Linked DNA regions of Alligator mississippiensis. The protein of the gene in region 2 interacts with the protein of the main gene of each other region in a biochemical or structural test. Links are inferred from orthologs where the notes say so. Each region holds a gene or a part of one and is shown on either strand. Other genes may lie near its edges. The genes, in order: RBM15, SRPK2 and LUC7L.

Region 1 (7,609 bases), on a different chromosome or scaffold from region 2:
TAATTGTGAGGCTGGCTAAGGCTGTATCCCATAGCACCTGGCACACGCTGGAAGGGCTGCGTGGAAGAGTAGGCAGGGTTGGGTACAGAGAACGAGGGCTTTAGGATGCACCACGAACAATGATCATGACCAGATAGTCGTCCTGTGATTTGGCCAGAGCTTTGGCCGTGGAGTCCAGGAACTGTTGGGAGAAATCGCAGGGTGGGAAGGCGTGCAGAACCCCGCTGTTCTCCTTGTCTTTGTTGCCTCCTACAGGGAGGCTGATGACCCCAGCAGCCTGCTTTTGCTTTAGATAGGACACCAGATTCCTGAGTGGCCTCTGGGTAGAGGTGGTGGCAGCCTCACTGGCCCCAGATGAGGAGCGGTTGTCTGATGTGCCAGGCACTGCCAGGAGAATGGCATATCCATTGGGACCTGCCACCTTGATGCGGCGAGTGACCTCATCCAGCTTGGGCTGGTCCAAACGAAGACGCTGAGTGATCTTGAGTTGGGCCACTTTGCCACCAGTTGATCCCTCCACCAGAAGACTGCTGGCTACACCGAGGTCTCCCTGAAGCAGGTGCATGTTGGACGGGAAGTTGCTATTCTTCAACAGAAGCATCCCCTGCCAAGCCAGGCACAGTTTGGGGGCCGCAGCAGACTGCGATGTTCCATCCTGCTGTTGCTGCTGCTGCTGCTGCTTTTGGGGTGGGGGTTTGAGCCGGGACCCTCCACCACTGCCCACTTCTGTCGTGCGCTCATCCTTTTTGGCTGGACTCTTGCACTCCTGGGCAGCAACTACCGCTGAGACACGGTGCTTCCTCTCTCTTTCAGCAGAGTTCTTGCGGTCACGCTTCTCACTCTGGCCACGCTCCAGGCTGCCCCTGCGTGACTCCCGAATTGGTGACGGCCGCTCCAGCAGGAGCAAACGGGAGGAACGCTCTGCATCACTAAGGTAACGCTCCCGGGTCACACCAGGATCAGGGCTGCGGTCTGGGGGAGAGGCTGCAGCCAGGCAATGTCGCTTACGGGACGAAGACGAGCGCTCGCTGTCTGGAGAGCGGTCCAAGTGCCGGCCTCCATCCTCAGCCAGTCTCCGTTTCCTGGGTTGGTCCCTGCTACTGCTACCCAACTCCCTCTCCCCTCGGTCTCTCTCCAGGGACCAACCATCCCGCCGACGCTCCAGACTTTCCAGAGGGTCATAGGCAGCTGCTCGATTACTCCTGTCCCGTACAGGGGGTGGCGGAGGCACCCACTCCGCCTCAGGATAAAGGTCTCTGTCCCGGTCTCTGTACAGCAACGGTGGTGTCCTATCCCGGGCACCCCGAAGTGGGTCAGGTGGGGCTCCCCGATGAGCCCCAAATGCAGCTGCCTCTGCCACTAGCTCATAGTGGGCAGGTGGGGGCAAGGGCAGCGGCTGCAGGTATGGCTGCTGGTAGCGATGCTCCGTGTCCGCAAAGTCCACTCGGAGGCGGCGGTCGGGCCCACCCAAAGGGAAACCACGCATGTGGGTGCAGGCAGCCTGTGCCGCATCCAGGCTCTCATACTGGATGTAGGCCCACGAATCACCTTTCCGATAATCAATAGTGCGGATGGTACCAAAACGGTCAAATTCCCTGGCCAAGGCAGCCAGTGGCACCCAGGGCCCCAGGCCCCCCACCCAGAGCCGGGTGGTGGGGGTGGCTTTGCCATACCCGATTTTGATGGGGTTGCGCAGAAGAACTTTGCCCGACATGGCGAGCTTGGCCCTGTGAGCCATGTCCAGGTTCTCAAACTTAAGGAAGCCGTAGGTGCTGGTCTGGCCGCGGCCCGGCCTCTTGATGTCCACCTCCGTGATGACTCCAAACCGGTCGAAGGCGCGCCGCAGGTCCGACTCGCTCACCGTGATGTCCAGGTTGCCCAGGAACAGCGTGCGGTTGGCTCGCTGGTCGTCCTCGGGGCTGATCTCCTCCTCGCCGGCCGCTCCGGCACCCCCTCCTCCTCCTCGGAAGCCGCCGGCGGCCGCCACGCCAGCCACCCGCTCCAGCCCGTACGCTGGCCGCACGCGGGTGTCATAGAAAGCCCCGTAATCCCGTTCCCGCTCCAGCTCGCGGGGCAGCGGGGGCGGCGGCGGCAGGCGGCCCAGGGCGAGCTGCTGCAGGCGGTAGTCTCTGTAGCCCAAACCGCCCCCCCCTCCAGCAGGCGACAAGGCCCTCTGCGTGGCGCCGGCCGCGGGGTGCCGCACAGCGGCAGCCGCAGCCGCCACACCCGCCACCGCGGCCACGTAGGGGGACTCCTTGTCCAGCAGCGCGGGGGAGCGGCTGCCGCGGCGCCGGCCACTCCCGCCGCCGACGTACACGGCCTCGATCTTGAGCGGGCGGTTGTAGAGCACGAGGCGGCCGCGGGCGTGCTTGGCGGCGCGGGCGTCCTCGGGCCGGCGGAAGTTGACGAAGGCCACGCGCTCGTCGGCGGCGCCGGTGCCGGGCGGGAGGCGGCTGATCTTGACGCTCACGTCGCCGAAGCGCTTGAACTCGTGGAAGAGCCCGTCCTCCACCGCCTCGTCGCTCAGCGCCGAGCCCAGCTCGCTGATCTTCAGCGTCTTGTACTCGCCGCCGCCGCCGCCCCCCGACTCGGACGAGGAGGACGAGGGGGGCGGCGCCGCCCGGGACTCCCCCCCGCCGCCGCCACCGCCGCCCCGGCTCCCGCCGCCGCTGCCCCGCGACGACTCGGCGTTCTTGCCGCTGTAGCCGTGGCGGCTACTGCCGCCGCCGCCGGGCGCCGCCCCCGCCTCGTACTCGCGGCTGCCGGCGCGGCCCGCCTTGTCCGGGTGCAGGCCCCGCCGGCCGCTCTCGCCCGAGCCGCCCGCCGCCTTGCCGCCGCCGTTGCTGCCGCCCGCGCCGGAGCCGCTCGGCTTCTTGCTGCTGCGCTCGGCCCGCGCCGACGAGGAGGAGGGCGCCGAGTCCTCGCCGCCGCCGCCCCGGGACCGCTTGGCCTTGGCCGGGGAGCGCTCCTTGCCCTTCATGGCGCCGAGCACCTCCGGGACGGCTTCCCTGACGGACGGACCCGCGCTCACGCACGCGCCGCCATCTTGGAACCCGCCGCGGAAATGGTCCCCGCCCCCCTGTCCGCCATTGGGCCACTCTATCCTCCCCCGCTGCTGCCGTTGGGCGCTGGTCTTGTCAGTCCGGGAGGCCCCACCCTGGCCGCTCGTTGATTGGGTGGCTGCGCTGCCTCTCTTCGCTGTCTCGTGCTCGGGTGGCTTGTGAGGGAAGGTCCCCCCTTTGGAGGCTCTGATTGGCCGCTGCGGGGTTCTGATTGGGCGAGCCGCCTGTCAATCGTAACGGTTTCGGGGTGAGACCGTCCTACCCCGCTCCTCCGGCTCTCATTGAGCGGAGAGCGGCGGGGCCTCGCGTCTCTGATTGGTGAGGATCCGCGTCATTTCGAACCGGCCTGCTCTGGGCGCCGGGAACCCGCCCCTGCCTCTCATTGGTCAAAAGTCGCTTTGCCCCTTCTCTGTGACTGGATGGGGCTTGTGTCCGTCGGAGCAGTTCAGCGGGACAGGCCGTGACCTTACCTCTCGTTGTGATTGGCCTACCGCTCTCCCGTCCCGCCCTACCAATGTGATAGGCTGAGCCGCACGTCCCTCCGGGATAAGCGCGGGATGCCGCCGGACCCTGGCCCTTCGCCCTCATTGGTTGATGAAAATCTCCTTATCGATCTGATTGGATGGAGGTGAGGAGCCTTCTGATGGGCGGGGGAGGGTGTCAGTCACGCCGAGAGTTTAAGTAATTGGCTTAGGGAGGATGCGGGGCGGTGCTTTTTGGACGCCAGCTCCAAAGTAGGGGGCTCTCGCTTGCTGCTCCGCTTTCTGTTCCCATCACGGTATCCTGCCTCTGGTCTTCAGCTCTGCTTTCCGCTCCCTGCGCCGTATTCCCCTCCCTGCTGATTTGCCACTCGACTTTCTGCTCCTTTCCCTACTTCACTGCCCAAGACACTGGCTCTGCTTTTTGCTCTCTGCCCTGGGGGTCCTCATGCATTCCACTCTGCTGTCTGCTCCCTGCCCTCTCTTCTACAGCTCCAGCCTCTGCTCTGCTGTCTGCTCCCTGCCCTCTCTTCTACAGCTCCAGCCTCTGCTCTGCTGTCTGCTCCCTGCCCTCTCTTCTACAGCTCCAGCCTCTGCTCTGCTGTCTGCTCCCTGCCATCTCTTCTACAGCTCCAGCCTCTGCTCTGCTGTCTGCTCCCTGCCCTCTCTTCTACAGCTCCAGCCTCTGCTCTGCTGTCTGCTCCCTGCCATCTCTTCTACAGCTCCAGCCTCTGCTCTGCTGTCTGCTCCCTGCCATCTCTTCTGCTCCAGCCTCTGCTCTGCTGTCTGCTCCCTGCCATCTCTTCTACTGCTCCAACTTCTGCTCTGCTTTCTGCTTTCCACCAGTGTGCCGCCTGTCCCAGTCCAGTCTCCCACGTGCCCCACACAGAGGCTGCCCGCACCACTTGCCCCCTGCCCTAGACTAGACAACCTCTGAAACCTCTTCCAACCCAACGGCTCTATGTTCAACCTGACATTTCATAAACCAATGAACAAAACCTGCCGCACCAAGAGATGGGAACCCTCCCTTGCCAGGATCCCTGGGAGGAAGAAACAGAGGCCATTTTTCTAAGCAAGAATTCTCTCCACTTGCCTGGAGAAGGCCTGAAATACCCGGCTCTGCCCTGAAGAGTGGAAGATGTGGAGCTGGCTTATTGCAGTGATTCTCCACCAGGGTCTCATGGCACCCTGTGGTACCCTGAGATCCTTTCAGAGGGTGCAGCAGGGTGCCACGCCGTGATAGTGCTGTTAGGTTTGCAACCATGAGTCACAAGATAAGCACAGAGATTTCAAACCGAGATCCACGGTTGGGGTCTTTCGGAGTTCTTTGCAGCAGAAAAAACTCTTTTATTATTTTTCTGTAGTCAAAAAAAAAAAGTGAAAACTAAACTGGCAATTTGTGACGGGTGCCTCAACTCTATTCCGCGGTGAAAAAAAAATGTCTCCCAGCAGCATCTCACGTCAAATCAGAGGCGAAACCAATGAGATTTCTTTTAAAGGCATTGTACTGGCATTCAGGCAAGGTGGCACTCTGCCCTGCCTTCACCTTCTCTTTCCAAAGAAGCTGGTGTCATGTATGCAACAAATTGCTGCATATGTGATGCCAGCTTAAGACAGGAATTCCTGTATGTTCAAGACAGAGATTCCTGAAATGGGGGGGGGGTTCAAATGTGGAGCTAAATAGTTCATGAATTATGGTAGTTTGGAGACAGGGGTCATGTCTTCACGTCCACATTTAATGAACAGTAGCCCAATTTAAGGCACATTAAGGGTGCGCATCTACACGTGCGCACCCTTAATGCACTCTGAAAATGGTGATTTTAGGCTATTTAGGCATAAAGCTGTTTTTAGGCTATTCCAGCCTAAATTTGATACATGCATAAAGCAGGTATCAAATTTACATGTGAATAGCTAAGACATTTGCGCGCGTGTAGACATACTAATGCACATTCATGCTTCTACACATGTGCTAATGCAACTCAGCTATTCACACCTACATTTAATGAGACTTAATGTGCATTAGCATGTCCATGCGTAGACATGCACCTAAGTCATCTTAATGCACCTTAAGCAAAGATGCATTAAGTTTAGGCAGGGGTAAATACACATGTAGACAGGATCAATCAGAAACATATATTGGGTGTATGCTGTGTCGGTGTGCATGGACATTGATGTCTTTTACTTAGTTATACCATGTTATCCTAAGATACATCAAAGACGGACACATATACTTAGTTGCACATAATCATATGGGAGACAGGCTGATAAAGATTTAATTATGCAGGGGTAGATGAAAGACAGAGAGAAATATATATAAAGGGCCATACTGGGAGTCATAGAAACAAGATAGGGGTTATAATGTCCAGGGCTTCATGGATTTTCAAATCACATTGGGACAGTCACCTAGCTGCTTTACCACAGTAAAACTGGCCAAAAACTTTTGACAAACTTTTTTCCATCAAAATTGCCGTTTCAGCAACACTGAAAAGTTTGGTTTGGAAACAGGATCATAAGAAAGTAGAGCCGGAAAGGACCTCGCAAGGTTATTCAGCCCAACTCCCTGCTCAAAGGCAGGATTAAACCATCCAGCCAAGTGTGGGTCCAACCTGATATTGGAAATTTCCAAGGAAGGAGATGTCACAACTTCTCTCAGGATCCTGCTCCAATGCTTGCACACCCTCATGGTCAGAAAGTTCTTTGGATTCTCCAGCCTCAATTTGCTCTGCTGCAGCTTGAGGCCACCGCTCCTAGTCCTGTCTCCTAAAGCCACAGGCTAGGTGTGGGCCTTCAGTTGCTGACTACTGGACTAAGGTGTTTCTTAGACTGCTTTGGGTTTGTGGATGAAGATGTACTGTTTTAAATAAGCTTAGCTAAATCTTACTGGACTGTGACATTTGTAACTTCTCCATCCTCTCACCCTTCATGGATTTGAAGACTGGTATCAAATCCCGCTTCAGTCTTCTCCTCTCCAGACTAAATAGGCTCAGTTTTTTTGCCTTTCCTTGTAAGTCTTGCTGCTCAAGCCTCTTATTATTTTTGTTGCCCTGTGCTGGACTCTCCAGTCTGCCCACATTTTGCAGGAAGTTTTCTCAGGTCAAGAGAGTTCCCCTTTAAACCAGTGGTTTTCAACCTGTGGTCCGCAGACCCCTGGGGGTCCCCAGGCTATGTCTAAGGGGTCCATGAAAAGGGGATCAATCAAAAGTATGTGAATACCCCCCACTTACAATTCAAAAAGGTCCACACCTCCAGGTGAAATTTTTTAGGGGTCCACAAATGAAAAAAAGGTTGAAAACCACCGTCTTAGACTGCTCTGGGTTTATGGTTGAACATATGCTGTTTTAAACTTGCTTAGCTAAAAGTTGGCAAACTTGCATTTGTAACTCGAATGAGGGGTGAGGTCATGTGACAAGTGTGTGGGGAGGGTGTGGGGAAAGGGAAACCATAGTGTGGAAAATTACAGAGACAGTCCACATGATCGCTACAGAGTATAAAAAGTCCCGAGGTACCAGGATGATCCGCAATCCATCAAAGGAGCTGCTGGAGTTTGCACCTTGAATTCCCCAGCTGCCCGGTGAGGACTGCCTATCCAAACTGGGACAGTACAGCTGACAGGTAATCAGGGAATTGCTTATGGTTTGTAATTAAGTCTCATGTTAGAATTTGCTGTAATAAACTGTTTAGCTTTAAGAGGCTGGCTGTATTCTTACCTCTCGTTGACGCCAAAAGGGTTCAAACCAGTGATTAGGACCAGCGATTAAAAATCTGAATCTCCCACATCCCAGGTGAGTATGCACATCATCAGGCTATTGGCTACTTAGGAGTGAGTGCTTCTCTCTTGTTCACACACTCTCCTGGGTAATTATTTATATATTTTTTTGGTTTTATGCAGAATTTCACAAGATGTCGATCTTGTTCCCATCTGGAACAAAAACAAATGTTGACCCTCCAAACATTGCTTTTGCCCAATGCAATTCTTGTTTTCTGACTCAGTCTCATTTGGACATGCATTGAAAATGGGTTTCAAGGGAAACCATGAAATACTTTATTTCAGCTAAAAGGACAAGACCC
Region 2 (7,549 bases):
GGAAATCCGGCCCCCCAAAAATAATTTCAAACGAACAATAAACAAACAGACTCTTTTTCAGTGTATGTGCACAAATATATCAAACTGTTAAGAAACATGGAATGGATATGGGAAATAAAGAGAAAGGAAGAAAGCATTGAGGCGAGGAAGAGAGTGGTACTTGAATGCTACAAAGAACTCTGCTATCTTTAGCAAATTCTCCTTTTCTGTATTATTTTTCCTTTTCACAACCCCTGTATTCTCTTTTCCTCCCCACTGCGTTCTTTGTTGTTAGTTCCATTCTGTGCAAGAGCAGCAGCATGTTGGTGAAATTGGCTAACATCCTGATTTTTGGGAACATGTGGTTCATAGAGCATAATATTGCCCACTGAGAAAAGCAGTACAGAGATAAACAGGAACATAAATTAGAACTGCAGGCCAAAGTCTTCAAGGATCCCTTTGCTCAAGAAGTGGTTTCTATTATCCTCAGAAAAGAAGCAGACATCACCATATTTACAAGACCACTGCTAGATTTGTTTTTTTTTTTCCTTAAAAATGCATCCCAATTTCCATAAGAGTAGCTGAAACCTCCTATGTAAGGAACATATTTCTAGGTCAAGTGAAAAGGAAACAACTAAGACTTTTTTGAGGTCAGGTCTAAACTGCACTGTAGAGCATAATAATAAACAGGTAAAATGTCAGCTCACAGCTTGTATGTTTCTCCTTTCCATTCCCATTTGCGTTCACAGCCACGCAAAATGAAAGAATAACTCTTGCCTTCTATTGTCCCTACTAATTGGGCAAGTCAAACCACCTGAGCCTAGAAACTTGGTCCCTACAGCAAATGAACTCCTTGATAATCCAGCAAAACCAGACACCTCTGTTGCAGATACTCTGTTCAAGGAAAGGCAGCCAGTGAAGGGGAAAGTAATCCTGTTATATCCCATTGTTGCAAATTTACTTTATCTATTTGTTACAAATACTTCATTCCAGTCTGTGCATCCTTTTGAGCGCAGTATTTAATTTAAAAACATTCTTTTAAGGTAACAAAATAGGATGGAAGGAAAAGGAAGCATATATACACTTGCACTGAAGTAGCAAAATAAGTTAATTAAAACATACATGTAATTATTTCTGTACACATTTGTGTTCAGGCTAGCCCTATAAGTAATTTTTAATACCATTTTACCTTGTCTGAAATTTAATCTAATATTTTTGGCCTCCTTTCTCTGTCATTTCCAAATGTAGGCCCTAATCCTAGCAAACACTTTATAACTACTTTATGTGAGCAGTCCCTTTGATACAGCTGAACTACTTCCATAAGTATCATTTTACACATGCTTAAGCATTTGCAAAACTAGGGCCCTCGTCATCATCTCAACATCCTTTGTGTTTAGATTGTACAGCTATTATATTTACCTACTAATTTAGATAAGTGCACATAAGAATCCTTTGTGCATGTGTAAAGACTTTCCCATTTATTTTATTATCTTTCTGTGTGAGCATATTACACAGATCTTTTGAGTAGCCTCTTCAGAAAATAGAAAGACAGAACAGGAAAAATGCAGTCCATTTCCTTGGAACAGGAATAAATTGATTGTATAATAAACACCCACCTAATCCTAAGAAATAATTCCTTCTCTGTGCAATACCAGATACTTCTCTCATGCTGCTTATATTGCTGACATTATACCCTTGAGGGAAATTCCTTCCTGACTCCAGATTTGGCAATCACTTTATCACTCTGTTCATATGAGTAAAGCCCTTTGTAGCTGCACATCTAAGACCCAATTGTCCCATACCCAACCCCACTGAAATAAATGGGAGTGCTCATGAACAGCTGAAAGTATGATTGGGCCCCCTGATCTATGACTGAAATATCCTACAATCACCCCTGAAAGGACTTCCCTGACCTTTCTAAGCCTGATTAGAGGGGCCAGGCCTCCTTTGCATATAATATGTATATCTGTTAGTCACCCAGCCGCTTTGTAAGCTTGAAACAATTGTGTTAAACTTTGGTAATTACAGTACTTTCTAACTGCAGTGTCCTCAAGCATTAAAAGCATGTGTGTTATTCTCTTCAGAATGATTAAATTTAAAGCAATAATAAATACATTAGTGGTTCTTTTTCTTTGCCTTTTGGTATTGGAGTCTTAGCAATTTGATGTTATTCACTGCAACCATGAGGTGTGCAGAAGTATATTGAAATAGACTTTTAAAATTAAACCTGAAATCCTAATTGAATGAATCCAGAGGCTTTAAGAAAAACAACAAAGACGACTTAAAATCAATATCCAGGAGTTAACAACATGGCATCAATCTACATCTAGAGGCTTCTCACTACTATTTAGTATTGTATAAACATTCACCAAGAAATGTGGGGAGAAACCTTGCTTTACTGACACTGAGGAGTGTCAGGGGGGAATGTTCGAATAAGTGTCCAAAAAGTGTGGAAACTTTTCAGAAGAAAGAAAAAGAGGGTCACAGGAGGGACTCCTTTAGATTTTACTAATATTGGCAAAATGTTAGTAAACACAGGTGACATTATTGAGGGCAGCTCGTCTGTTTGTTAGCAGGCACCTGGTTGTTGTCCATTACCAGAAGCTTTTTGAGCTATACTGCATGAGGTATTTCAGGAATGAGGCAGAACTCCAAAAGGGGACCCTAAACGGATATACAAGGAAGAGTACTGGAGCACCGAGAATTTAAAACTGGAAGTTTTAAATACTCTAAGTGCTCAGTGTTTGACTTCTTATAACAAACATGTGCCATTTTTAAGACTATATTATGCACCACATCCATAATCTCCCACCCTCATGCACTTGTAGTGTCTGAACATTGAGCCTTCTGGGTTGCAGCACCGTGTTCAAGCACTTGACCTACTGAACCAATGAACACTGGCTGACAACACCTTCCTATCATCTTGTGTGCCTAATGCTTCCTCAGCCTGACAAAGCGTATTTGTACCTGAAAGCTTGCAAAGAAGAATTTTGTCAACTATTTGAGTTGGTCTAATAAAAGATATTGGATTTACCCAAAGAACCTCACCTGCCCGAAGATGCCTAATGCACTGGTGCAGTAGATCACCTATACTCAAGCAGTAGAACTGACTGAAAAGCTTATTATGCTCCTGGAGAATGCTGAGTTTTGGGTTTTTCTCTTTCGCTGAATGTTTATATTCAGAAATGCCGCGGTGGTGCCTCATGGGAGTTGTGGGCTAAGAAGCCCGTGTGCCCTTTCTTCTCTACAGCAGCAGTTCTCAACCTTTTTTGTACCAGGACGAGGGTGGCCACGAGGTACCTCAAAAATAGATGTCCCCACTACCACAAACGTGGTGCGCCTCCCGAGGCTGGAGGGCACAGTGAGGTCCCGCAGGCAGCGGTGTTGGCGGTGGGGGTAGTGGCGAGTGGTGAGCTCCTGCAGGCAGTGGTAGCGGTGTCTGCAGTGGGGTCAGGCCAAGAAGGGAGCTCCCGTAGGTGGTCACCGTGGTGTTGGCAGCAGGGAGGGGGTGGTGTTGAGTGATGAAAAATAGAGAACGTAAAGGCACTTGGTTTTCCTATCAACGGAGGACCAGAAAACCAGACTCTCCTGTATAAAACTGGACAAATGGCCACCCTAACCAGGACCCATTTGTAAAGGTTGATGGCCAGTCCCAACCCAGTGCCCCTCAGTGTGTGGGCATGTGGGGTAGGGAGGGCAAGTGCACAGGGGTCCCAGGCAGCCCCTTGCAGGTGGGAACTGTGCCAGCCTGGGAGAGAAAACCCACGGGTCCCCCGCCTTTCTCATAGATTGAATAGACATTAGGGCTGGAAGGGACCTCGGAAGATCATGGAGTCCAGCCCCCCCCCCCCGGGACAGGAAGTCAGCTGGGGCCATAGGATCCCATTAAGATAAATGTCCAAATGTCTCTTGAAGGCATTCAAAGTAGGTGCTTGAACCACCCCTGGCGGCAGGCTAGTCCAGGCGTTGGGGGCTCGGACAGGAAGGAAATTCTTCCTTGTGTCGGGCCTGAAATGGTCTTGCAGGAGTTTATAACCCTTCGACCTTGTCACCCCTTCCTTGGGGTGAACAGATCCAGATCCCGGCGAGCACCCCGATAAACTTTTCCTCCTTTAAAAGAGAATCCACTTTTACAGCGTGTGGATCCGTTTCCAAAAACTTTGCTTGCCCCCCTTTCCTAGATGTTGGGCCCAGGGGTTGAGAAAGGCTGCTTCAGGGTGGGCTCCCCGATCCGAGCAGAAACAGCGGGGCACCACGTGCGCAGCGCTCGTCCTGCCCGCCCGGGCCGGGGGACGCCCGGGGAAGGCGCCGGCTGGAGGCTCCCGGGGGCTCGGCCTCCCGCCCGGCGCGGCACTCCCACGCGCGAGGTCCCCAGCGATGCGAGCAGGACCCGCGCCCCCACCTCCACCCCCGCCGCGCTCCCAGGCCGGGGGCAGGAGGCGCCAGCGCAGCCCCCGCCCCGCCCCGGTGCCGGCTGCCGCGCCTGCGCAGCGCTCGCGGGGCTGCTGTCCGTGCCCGGCGCTCCCACCGCCTGCTCCTCCGCCTCCAGCCTCGGCTCCGGCTCCGCTCGTGCGCCGGGCCTGGCCCAGCGGCGCAGAGCGATGAGCTCCCGCAAAGGTACCGTGGGGCCGGTCGTGGGGCAGGGGCCGGGGCAGGGGCAGGGGCCGGGGCCGCTCCCCCTCCCCCCCCGCACTAACCCGCCCGTGTCTCCCCAGTGTTGGCGCTGCAGGCCCGGAGGCGGCGGCCCAAGCAGCCCGTGGCGGCGGCGCGGAGGGACAAGCAGCCGGCGCAGCACAAGAAGTGAGTGCGGGGCCGCGGGGTGTCCCGCCGCGCTCGGGCGCCGGGGGTCGCTCCGGCCTGGGAAAGTTTCCTTGAGGAGCGGGGCCCGCGGCCCGGGCTCCTCCCACAGCGCCCTCAGGGCTCGGGGCCCCGCGCACCTCGGCAGGGGAAGGGGAAGGGGCTTGGGGGAGACAAGTGCCCAGCGCCCCTCAGGCGAGTGAGTGCTGGCCCCTTGCCCCGCGGAGTTGGCACTTCCAGAGCCGGCGCCCAGCTTTTGGTTGCCTCAGGAAACGGTGGCAGCAAGGTGTCGGGTGCCTGGGCCACAGAAGACCCCCCCCCCTTTCTTTTTTTTTTTGGCCTGCTGGCTCCTCGGTTTCTTCTGCTTTCTCTCCTCCTCGTCTGTCTGACTGTCCCAAACGCTCAGATCTTTGCGCGGGAGTCTGAGATGTGTCGCTCTTCTGAATGATATAAGGAATGATCTGTGGCCAAAATTTAATTGACATTGGTATTCGATTGGATTAGAAAGAAAATCAGCCTTAACAAAACAAAACAAAACAAAGGTTTAGGTTCCCCTGCTTTGTTTTGAAGCCAGACACTGCTGTCTCATGCTGCTCTTGAGCGACAAAGAAAAACGTGAGAGGAACAGAACAAAATCATGAAAAGTCAGGGTTGTTTTTAGCTTTTAATCCTCCAAGGTTGGTATTCAGAGTAGACACCTGCTTGTTTGCTTCTGACTCTAATGTTATCATTTGAACTTTATTTCTGCTGGGGTACTATCCTTCAGTCACGGCAGGAAGGGTCAGCACAGCAACCAACATCCACTGCTCCCATTAACAGTCTGCTTCAAGGGAATTGCATGATTGCCTGGTAGAATTCTTTGCATTGTAACTTATTGGCAGACTGGTTGCATCGCTTATTAAGGTAGTCGCACAAACTGAACAAAGCAAGAACTTTTACCTCCACGTTTTTTTTTTTTGTTTAGTTTTCATCATCTCAATAGTTAATGTAAGGGTGTGAAGGGCGCTTAGTGCTTGCCAGATGTAGATCCTTTCAGTTGATAATGAGAGCTAGCAGAAAAGATCTCCTAAGATTTTGTGGTGTGGAGAAGTAGAATGTAAGTGATTGGTCTAGGGAGGAAGGAAGGGGAAGAAGTAAGAAGGTAAGCGATTGTTGTAAGGAGGGGTCCATGTTATGACTTCGATCATGATGAAGTCTGTGAAATCCTACAAAGGTTGGTGGTTGAGCCTCAGTTGCAGAGATGGCTAGAAAAGCATTATGTAGTGCTACTATTGGCAAGTTATGCCAGATATTTGGTTCTGAGAAAAATACATGGATTTACCATGTGATGTATACAAGTTGCTTTTTATCAGCCCTAGTCTGTTAGGCAAAGGATTAATCAAAGCTGTTAAGACAGTTGCACACAGAAGTTGTACCAGTTAAACTGCAGGTCTACCCTTTGAAAAGTAGTATGGGAAATGAACAGATCTCTGCACACAGGCTGTGTTCAGAGACATACTTGCTTTGTAGTAAACATGCTGGTTTGCTATTCTTTCCTTGGTATTCCAGAGCACAGCCCTGGAAAAGGTAGCTCACTTACTTTTGGCTCTTGTCTACATGCAGACTTGAACTTTAGAGTTAATGCAGAAGCCAGGAGAAAAACATATTTTTTTTTTTTTGTTTTTTTGCCTCCTCCCCCGTGCCTTTCCTCGTCCCCTCAATCAAATTTGCTTGCAGATGTGGTTTTTTGTTGTTTGCTGTTTGTTGTTTTTGTTTTTTACAGCATGTAACATATTGGAGCTCAACTGATTGAAGTGTTTGTGCAATACTACAATGCAAGGGAAGGCTGATCATGCTGTTATTTTCTTGCGGTGGTGAGGAATACAATTGCCAGGGAAAATAAAGTACCTATATTTCCCTCCTGTGCATGGGTGGAAATGATACAGCTTTTCTTGTGACAAAAAATATCCAGACAATTAATATATTCTTGGGCTTATCTATATTGTATAACTTGATTTTATGTATACACGTACCTAGAAAATGGTATGTTGCTGCCATTTGTCAGTATTGTCACTTTTGTTATCCTACAGTGAGCAAACCTGTCTGGGCCACCTAGTGTCATTTTTGTGTATTTACTCAGAATATGGTGTCAACATGAGACAGTGGGTCCTATGAGTAAAATTGATAAATAGTTGTCTTCTGAGTTGTGGTGCTTTGGATAAGCCTTCATCATTTTGTCTTCATTGCCAGCCTGAAAGACCATACAGTTCTGCAATGTATTAAGCTCAAACATTTTAAAAACTTGGATATCTAAAATTAGCTAATCAGGGTAACTTCATGCCCCTACTTTGAAAAATTAGGCTTCCCCATTAGGCTCCCCCATATCAGTCTAAAAACTGATCTAGCCTGTTGTTGATTTCCCTTCCTCTCCCCTTCCTTTTTCTTATTGGGTATGTGTAATGGTCTTCATACATACATAGATTATATTTTACAGAAAGTAATTATATTTCAGTTTTAATATATGTAATTTGTAGCTTCTGATATGTTTGAATATCTGAGACACCTCTTCATCTAATGTTTATATTTTTAATGTGTTGATGAATAAAGCCGATGCCAAAAGTTTTTGTGGAATCCATTCAATGTACAGTAAATCTTATACTGTAAAGAAATGAATGTGTCTGTTAAAGTACTGTATATGTTGGTTCCTCTGTTAACTGAGACTTGCAAAAATCTCATGCTGGGAAAGCATCTGGGATTGTAACCATTTACTTTGAAATAGAAAGAGCTTCTAGAA
Region 3 (7,333 bases), on a different chromosome or scaffold from region 2:
TGCAGACACGATCATCAGTAAACTTCACCCTTTGTCTGGTTTCATCTCCTGAAATTCAGGTGTGGTTTCAAATAAGAAAGCATTAGAATACTGATAAAAGCATGAAGGTGTTGGTATGATGATTTTGCCTTAATATGCGGATTAAAAAAAAAATACTTCACCTTCCTGTTCCCCAAGATTGTTTGAAAAAGCTGAGTTATGGATAAATTATTCTGGATTTTTTACAACTGGCAACTGAAACATTATTTTTGCATCTATACATCGAGTATATCACATGTTAAATGGAGTGCTGGCAAGCCAAATAGTGTCTATCACCTGTCATCCATGTAAAGAGACAGCACAGCCAGAAAAAAAAAAAGAGAGACAGACAGACAACTTGGCTGACAGCCATAATGTTTTGTGCCTTTTTTTTTCCCAATATACAAAGAGTATGTAGGGGACAGGAGATACTAAAACCCATGCTATCAGAGGGCCATGAATCACAAAACAGGGCTGTGCTTGGCAATCTTTACAGGCAACTGCTATTTACTAATCCAGTAACCTAATGCATCAGTCCAATTGGTTTGGGCAACCAAATTGTGTAGTGTGTTGTCCAAGGCCACGTGAAAAATGAAGCTTGTAGGTATTGGCCTGGAACATGAAACATGTACTTCCCACCCACCTCCCACCCACCAGAAGACATACTGTACTTGGGAGCCACTTAAACAAGACAATATCAGAAAAGCAGAAAAAGGAAAAAAAAAAAAGAAAAAAGAAACAAAGTTAGTCAATACACACTGCGAGCTCCAACACATACTATACCCATCTGCATTCTTCAAGACCTCAGCTGTAGAATTTTATGCCCACTGTTGAAAAGTTTTAAAGGAAAAGTTTTCTTGCCCACACCTGCAGTAAGGAAGTCAGGGGAATGATACATAAAAGTAAAGGCAAAGTGGCAATGGTATGTGACAATTTTAAAGCTAATCTGTGTATATGACACAGGTATGTGTAATACTAAAGTATGAATATAGTTTAGGATTTGCAAGCATCCAGGATTAATGTAGTGTCTATTGAAAATGTTTTCTTTCTTTCTTTTTTTCTTTCTTTCTTTCCTTTCTTTCTAAGCTACACTTTTAAAGTTACTCGTGAGGAAAAAGCAAACACTTTTTTTGTTATAACAGCTTTAAAAATTGGTTGTGACTCACGGCTCGATGAACATGAGGCTTTTCTGCAACTCCCTTGCAGATTGATGTAGGCAGGCAAAGATACACTGAACCTTTATAAATAAAATAGAGGGGCCACAATTGTTCAGTTTGTATGAAATAAAAATATGGGAAGCAATTCAAAAGCAACTCAATACACAAAGAAAGAAAAAGCACTTATTCACTTACGAAACAAAGTGCAAAATACCTGGATAGCCCTGCTAAGTGTCAGAGTGCGTTTAAATAGTCAATAACTCAGTAGAAGAGAAGATACAAACCATAGCAAGAATACAGTTTTGCACAAGATGCGACATTCCTTTTCTTGGGCAATATCTAGGAATACCAGTTTCTAAACACAAACCTACCTATGTACACTTCTGTGTGAAAGGTGTTGATTAAATGCAGAGCTTTTGCTGTGGGCCCCCCGTTGGAAAGCCTCTCCAAATAGATCAACATGAAGTCAGGAAAGTTGAGACTTTCAGCTCTCCTTGCAAGTGCAACAGTAGAGCGATGGGACACTCAGGACTATATTTTCTGTGAGGGAAGCCTGAGTTTTTCTGCACTGCAGAACTAGATACCAAGGGTATTTTCTGTTGAGGTTTCCAGGTAGCCTCAGAAAAAGGCTACAAAGACTAAAACGTAGGCTTACTCTACTTACAGCAACTGCAGTCCCAGAACATTGTTTCTGGACTATTTTATGGGCTTTACTATAAATATACTTTTGTTGGGCGGCAGCACCTAGACAGAGGAGGAAACTCTGAGAGGGCCCAATCTTTCAAACCTAGGCTCCTTAGTGAGTCAGCCAAATACCAATTGTGGACACTCAAAGTTGACACAGACACATGCAGAACAGATGCTCATGCTCAAATGCTAAACCCAACCACTTGGAGGTGAGCTGTGGATAATCTGATAAGGAGCCCATGTTTGAGAACGAGGCCTGGATGCTCAATGTGTCCTCACCGGTCCTGTGCGAGGACAGGAATGGAATAACAGCACATTTTAAGTCTGACTTAATGCACGCAAATGCTTCCAGCTGCTGGCGGTTCTAGACAGATCATGACAGGCTCTAAACATCTCAGCAGAGGGTCCGCACAGGGAGCATCAAGGGTGTCACCAGCAAGAAAACCTGACACTGACACCGGGCCTCTGCTGCGAGAGAGGGCAGCAAGAGATCGGATTGTGTGTGTCCCTGTTTGGGGCAGAGGATCAAAGCCAGGGCCCAGAACACTAGCTGCAGGGAAGAGAGCAAAGGGGCTAAGGCAAGACCTGGGAGTCAGAGGTCCTGCCAGGATAATGGGGTCAGAGGAAAGGGGTCAAGAACCAGGCCCAGGGTGAGCCGACGTCCCACGGGCTGAGGGAGAAGAGGGAGGGTGCAAAGACCAGGCTCAGGAGGAACCAGCGCTCTGACGGGGAGGCAGCTATCCTACAGCGGCCCCTGCCCGGCCCGCCAGGAGCAGAAGGATCGCGACTCGGGCACAGGGCCCTACTGGCGCCCCAAGGGGCTTGAGGCGGCCGGGATCGGGCCCAGCGCCAGCGCCAGCGCCGCGGACGGAGGGGACGGAGGGGGGGCAGGCCCGGCGGGAGGATGCGCAGAGCCGAGGCAGGGATCGGGCCCGCGCGGGGAGTGGGCAAGGCCCAGGGCCGGGGCGGCCCCGTCCCCGTCCCCGGCCGCGCCCGCCCGGACCAGGCCTGCGCGACTGCCAGGCCGCGGCGCTTCCTGCAGGCCTCGCCGCGCTACTCACCGTCCCGGGCCGTGCCCATGAGCTGGTCCAGCAGCGCCCGCATCTGGGCCTGGGCCGACATGATGATGATGATGACGACGAAGAAGGCGGCGGCGGCCTCTCGCTGCGGGACCCCCGCGGGGCAGGCGGGCGGCGGCTCCGGCTCCGGCTCTCCGGCCTCTGCTGGCGCCGCGGGGGACGCTGGGAGGAAGCGGCCCCGCCCTGCAGCGCGCGGAGGCCTGGGACATGGAGTCTAGCCGAGCCCGGCCTCGGCTCCGCCTGCCCCGGTCTCTAATGATCGTACTGGTAGGATCGTTTCAACCCTGGCGATGTAGGTAGCCTAGCCAAAGGAAATGATCTGGTGAGCAACGTGAATATTAAAGGTAGCCTGGACGACAGCAACCTTGAGCTCGTGAGGTTCCCTGTCTGCCATAAGGCAGACAAATCAACCAGCGGAATTGAAGTCCTGGACTTCAAAAACACAAACTGCAAGAGGCTTAGGGCATTAGTAGGGGAGGCGATGGGGGACCAGGGACCACAGGCAAATGGAGTGCATGAAGAGTGGTTGTTCTTCAAGGACACAATCCTCGAAGCACAAAAAAAGACCATTCCCCTGCAGAGGAAAGGTAGAAAGGCTGGCAAGCCCTCTTGGCTTAATAGGGATATCATGGTCCTCTTGAAAAAGAAAAGAGGCATACACACAATGGAAGCTAGAGAGAGTCCTCAAGGAGGACTATACAACAGCAGTCCGCACATGTAGGGAGAAGATTAGGAAATCTAAGGCAGCGACTGATTTTAAGTTAGTGATGAGAATCAAGGACAATAAGAAGTCCTTCTGTAGGTATGTAAGCAGTAGGAAAACAAATGAAAGTGTGGGACCCCTGCTTAACACCTCAGGACAGCTGGTAACAGGCACTCAGGAAAAAAAATGAACTCCTGAATGCCCACACTGCTCTGGTATTTCACTGGACCAAGGGGAAAAACATGCTAGATAAGCTTCACAGGGGGCGTGGTGGGAATGACCGCCTTCCTACTGTTGATGCTGAACTTGTGCATGACCAACTAGAAAAGCTAGACATTTATAAGTCAGGAGGACAGGACAGATTCCACCTGAGAGTACTGAAGGAGCTGGCTAAGGTCATTGCGGGACCCCTGGCAAAACTTTTCCAAAACTTGTGGTGCTCAGGGGAGATCCCTGAGGATTGGAAGACAGCCCATTTCACAAGTTTTGCCTGTCAGCAGCTAGAGGTGCAGGGCCCCAGAACCCAGAAGTCTCTGCACCTATCTCCTTGACAACTGGCAGGCTTCGTGGCCTCAGCAGGGGCTAGCAGGCCTGCAGCTTTCACCCTGCTGCACCTTAACACACACACTGTCACCCATGTCACGAGTTTTGCTTGTCCTCAGCACGAGGTGTAGTTTCCCCCAAACCCCTGCACTGATCTCCTTGAAACTTGGCAGGCTTTGTGGCCTCAGAAGGGGCTAGCATGTCTGAAGTTTTGACCCTGCTGTGCCTTAACACATACACGTGACATGAGTTTTGCTTTCAGGATATAAGGGGTGCAGTTTCTCCAAACCCCCTCTACCTATCTCCTTGAAACTTGGCAGGCTTTGGTGCCTCATCAAGGGCTACCATCCTGGCAGCTTTGACTCCACTGTGGCTTAATACGTACATGTGACATGAGTTTTGCTCTCAAGACTTTGGGGTGCAGATTCTCTGAACCCCCTGTACCTATCTTCTTGAAACTTGGCATGGTTCATACCCTCAGAAGGGGATAGCATTTCTGCAAGGTTCATCCAAATCAGGCCAGAAATGACAAAGTTATAAGCTGTTTCAACCTTCCCCATTGCAGCCTATGGGCGAAATGGCAAAACAGCCTCGAAATGGCAAAACATTTCTACTTGCCTCGTTTTGTTTCGAGGCTGTTTCGACCATGTCGGTTCCATTTCAATTCTGCTGTTTTGACCTCGAAACAGGTTGAAACAGCATCGAAACAAAACTGGTGGCGAAATTTCGCACAGCCCTACTGTTCCCCAGGGCACCCTTGGGGAAAAACAGGAGTAATGGCCGCAGACTCCTGGAAGGCCTCTTCAGGCTCAACTGTATGAAAAACTTCTTCACAGTCATGGCGTCTACACTGTAGAATAAACTCCCACAGAGGTGGTGCAATCATCTACCCTGGAAATCTCCAGACGAGACTGGACAGTCAGCTTACTGGGGTCACCTGACCCTAGTTGTCTTTCCTGCCTAATGCAGGGGGACTGGACCCAATTGTGGAATCAGAAAGAAATAAATGCCTTAAACTTTGATCATACGAGTTATAAGATGACATAACCGCATTGTGGGGAATTGCTGGCTCTGTAGAGTAGAACTGATAAGGGAAAGTGTTTGTTCTTTGTAACTCCTCTGCAACTGCTTCGCTCACCGTGGCCTTGAAGATAACAAAAAAGTATGTACAACTCTGATTTCCAGGTGCAAGAAGGGAGTGTTATTTTTCCCTTTGTCTCCCCCCATAGTTCCCATCCTGATAACAGCAAAGCAGTATGAGGTAATGTTTGTAGCTGCTTTTCTAGCTAATTCCACTATATGATCACATGAGTTGTAAGCGACTGTTAAAAAGTATATAAGCCTCCTGCTTTTGCTCTTGGGGGGAACCCCTTCCAAGTGCTTGGGAAATCCATGTCACTTTGGAGTCCCCCCTACAGCTGTAGTTTCATTTAAATAAAAGCTTCTGCTGACCTGACCCAAAAGTATGCTGCGTGTGTTTCCACGACGGTTCCTGGTGCCGTGACTCGCATCCAGAACACGTGTTGAGGAAGGAGGACCGCGGACTGCCCCCCGCCCCCGAACCCGAGGCACCAAACTTGAGAGGTAAGAGACCTAATTCAAAATCTCTATTGGGTTTCGGAGGAGGACTGCCCGTAGGCTCCCAACGTGACCGTGGTAACTGGATCTGAACCTTGTTAAAATAGGTCAGTCTGAACCTTACTGCCGGCTAAATTTTCTGTCTGGTATTCCTGTCTGGTAACGTACATTCTGTTCAGGGAGAATCTGTCTGAATCACCTCCATCCAACAGCACATTGGGCTCGCAGTTAGTTAACCGAGGCAATGTGGGAGGGGGTCTGGCTGACTGAATGTGTATGTGTATTTAGAAATCGGATTTAGAAATCGGTTGGACCCAGACGGTAGTAATTGATGGAAGTCACTCATCATTGTGTCCTGTGACCAGTGGGGTCCCCCAAGGCTCTGTCCTTGGACCCATACTGTTCAACATCTTCATTAATGATGTGGACACTGGAGTCAGAAGCGGACTGGCCAAGTTCGCCGATGACACCAAACTTTGGGGCAAAGCATCCACACCAGAAGACAGGCAGGTGATCCAGGCTGACCTGGACAGGCTCAGCAAGTGGGTGGACGAGAATCTGATGGTGTTCAACGCCGATAAATGCAAGGTTCTTCACCTTGGGAAGAAAAACCCGCAGCATCCTTATAGGCTCGGCAGTGCTATGTTGGCTAGCACTATGGAAGAAAGAGACTTGGGGGTGATCATTGACCACAAGATGAACATGAGCCTGCAGTGCGATGCTGCGGCTAGTAAAACGACCAAAACGCTGGCTTGCATCCATAGATGCTTCTCAAGCAAATCCCAGGACATCATTCTCCCCTTGTACTCAGCCTTAGTGAGGCCACAGCTGGAGTACTGCGTCCAGTTTTGGGCTCCACAATTCAAAAAGGATGTGGAGAAGCTTGAGAGAGTCCAAAGAAGAGCCACGCGTATGATCAGAGGTCAGGGAAGCGGACCCTACGATGACAGGCTGAAAGCCCTGGGGCTCTTTAGCCTGAAAAAGCACAGGCTCAGGGGTGATCTGATGGCCACCTATAAGTTTATCAGGGGTGACCACCAGTATCTGGGGGAACGTTTGTTCACCAGAGCGCCCCAAGGGATGATGACTAGGTTGAATGGTCATAAACTACTACAAGACCGTTTCAGGCTGGACATAAGGAAGAATTTCTTTACTGTCTGAGCCCCCAAGGTCTGGAACAGCCTGCCACCGGAGGTGGTTCAAGCGCCTACATTAAACACCTTCAAAAGCAAACTGGATGCTTAACTTGCTGGGATCCTGTGACCCCAGCTGACTTCCTGCCCTTTGGGCAGGGGGCTGGACTCGGTGATCTTCCGAGGTCCCTTCCAGCCCTAATGTCTATGAAATCTATGAAATCTATGAAGTCCAACCTCCTATCATGGCAGGAAAGAGCACTGGGGTCAAACGACCCCAGCAAGGTGTTCATCTAGCCTCCTCTTAAAGACCCTCCCTCCTCTTAAAGGGTAGGAGCCAGCACTACTTCCCTTGGAAGTTGGTTCCAGATCCTAGCCGCCCTGACTGTGAAGTAGCGCCTCCTGATGTCTAGTCTAAATCTACCCTCTGCCAGC

What was found.
Region 1: of the proteins of SRPK2 (region 2) and RBM15, one has a biochemical effect on the other in vitro, tested with the Homo sapiens proteins (2 studies listed by BioGRID and IntAct). The link is inferred for Alligator mississippiensis from reciprocal best matches to the Homo sapiens genes SRPK2 and RBM15.
Region 3: of the proteins of SRPK2 (region 2) and LUC7L, one has a biochemical effect on the other in vitro, tested with the Homo sapiens proteins (2 studies listed by BioGRID and IntAct). The link is inferred for Alligator mississippiensis from reciprocal best matches to the Homo sapiens genes SRPK2 and LUC7L.

What each region holds. Positions count from the first base shown.
Region 1 is NC_081837.1:34,888,670-34,896,278, reverse strand, and holds the start of RBM15 (RNA-binding protein 15), read right to left. Parts: upstream 3,069-7,609; 5' UTR 2,981-3,068; coding exon 101-2,980; 3' UTR 1-100. UniProt on the Homo sapiens protein: RNA-binding protein that acts as a key regulator of N6-methyladenosine (m6A) methylation of RNAs, thereby regulating different processes, such as hematopoietic cell homeostasis, alternative splicing of mRNAs and X chromosome inactivation mediated by Xist RNA.
Region 2 is NC_081827.1:26,456,748-26,464,296, reverse strand, and holds the start of SRPK2 (SRSF protein kinase 2), read left to right. Parts: upstream 1-4,467; 5' UTR 4,468-4,580; coding exon 4,581-4,596; intron 4,597-4,692; exon of another isoform or gene 4,693-4,694; coding exon 4,695-4,779; intron 4,780-7,549. UniProt on the Homo sapiens protein: Serine/arginine-rich protein-specific kinase which specifically phosphorylates its substrates at serine residues located in regions rich in arginine/serine dipeptides, known as RS domains and is involved in the phosphorylation of SR splicing factors and the regulation of splicing.
Region 3 is NC_081836.1:22,862,643-22,869,975, forward strand, and holds the start of LUC7L (putative RNA-binding protein Luc7-like 1), read right to left. Parts: upstream 3,070-7,333; 5' UTR 2,985-3,069; coding exon 2,924-2,984; intron 1,256-2,923; exon of another isoform or gene 1,185-1,255; intron 49-1,184; coding exon 1-48. UniProt on the Homo sapiens protein: May bind to RNA via its Arg/Ser-rich domain.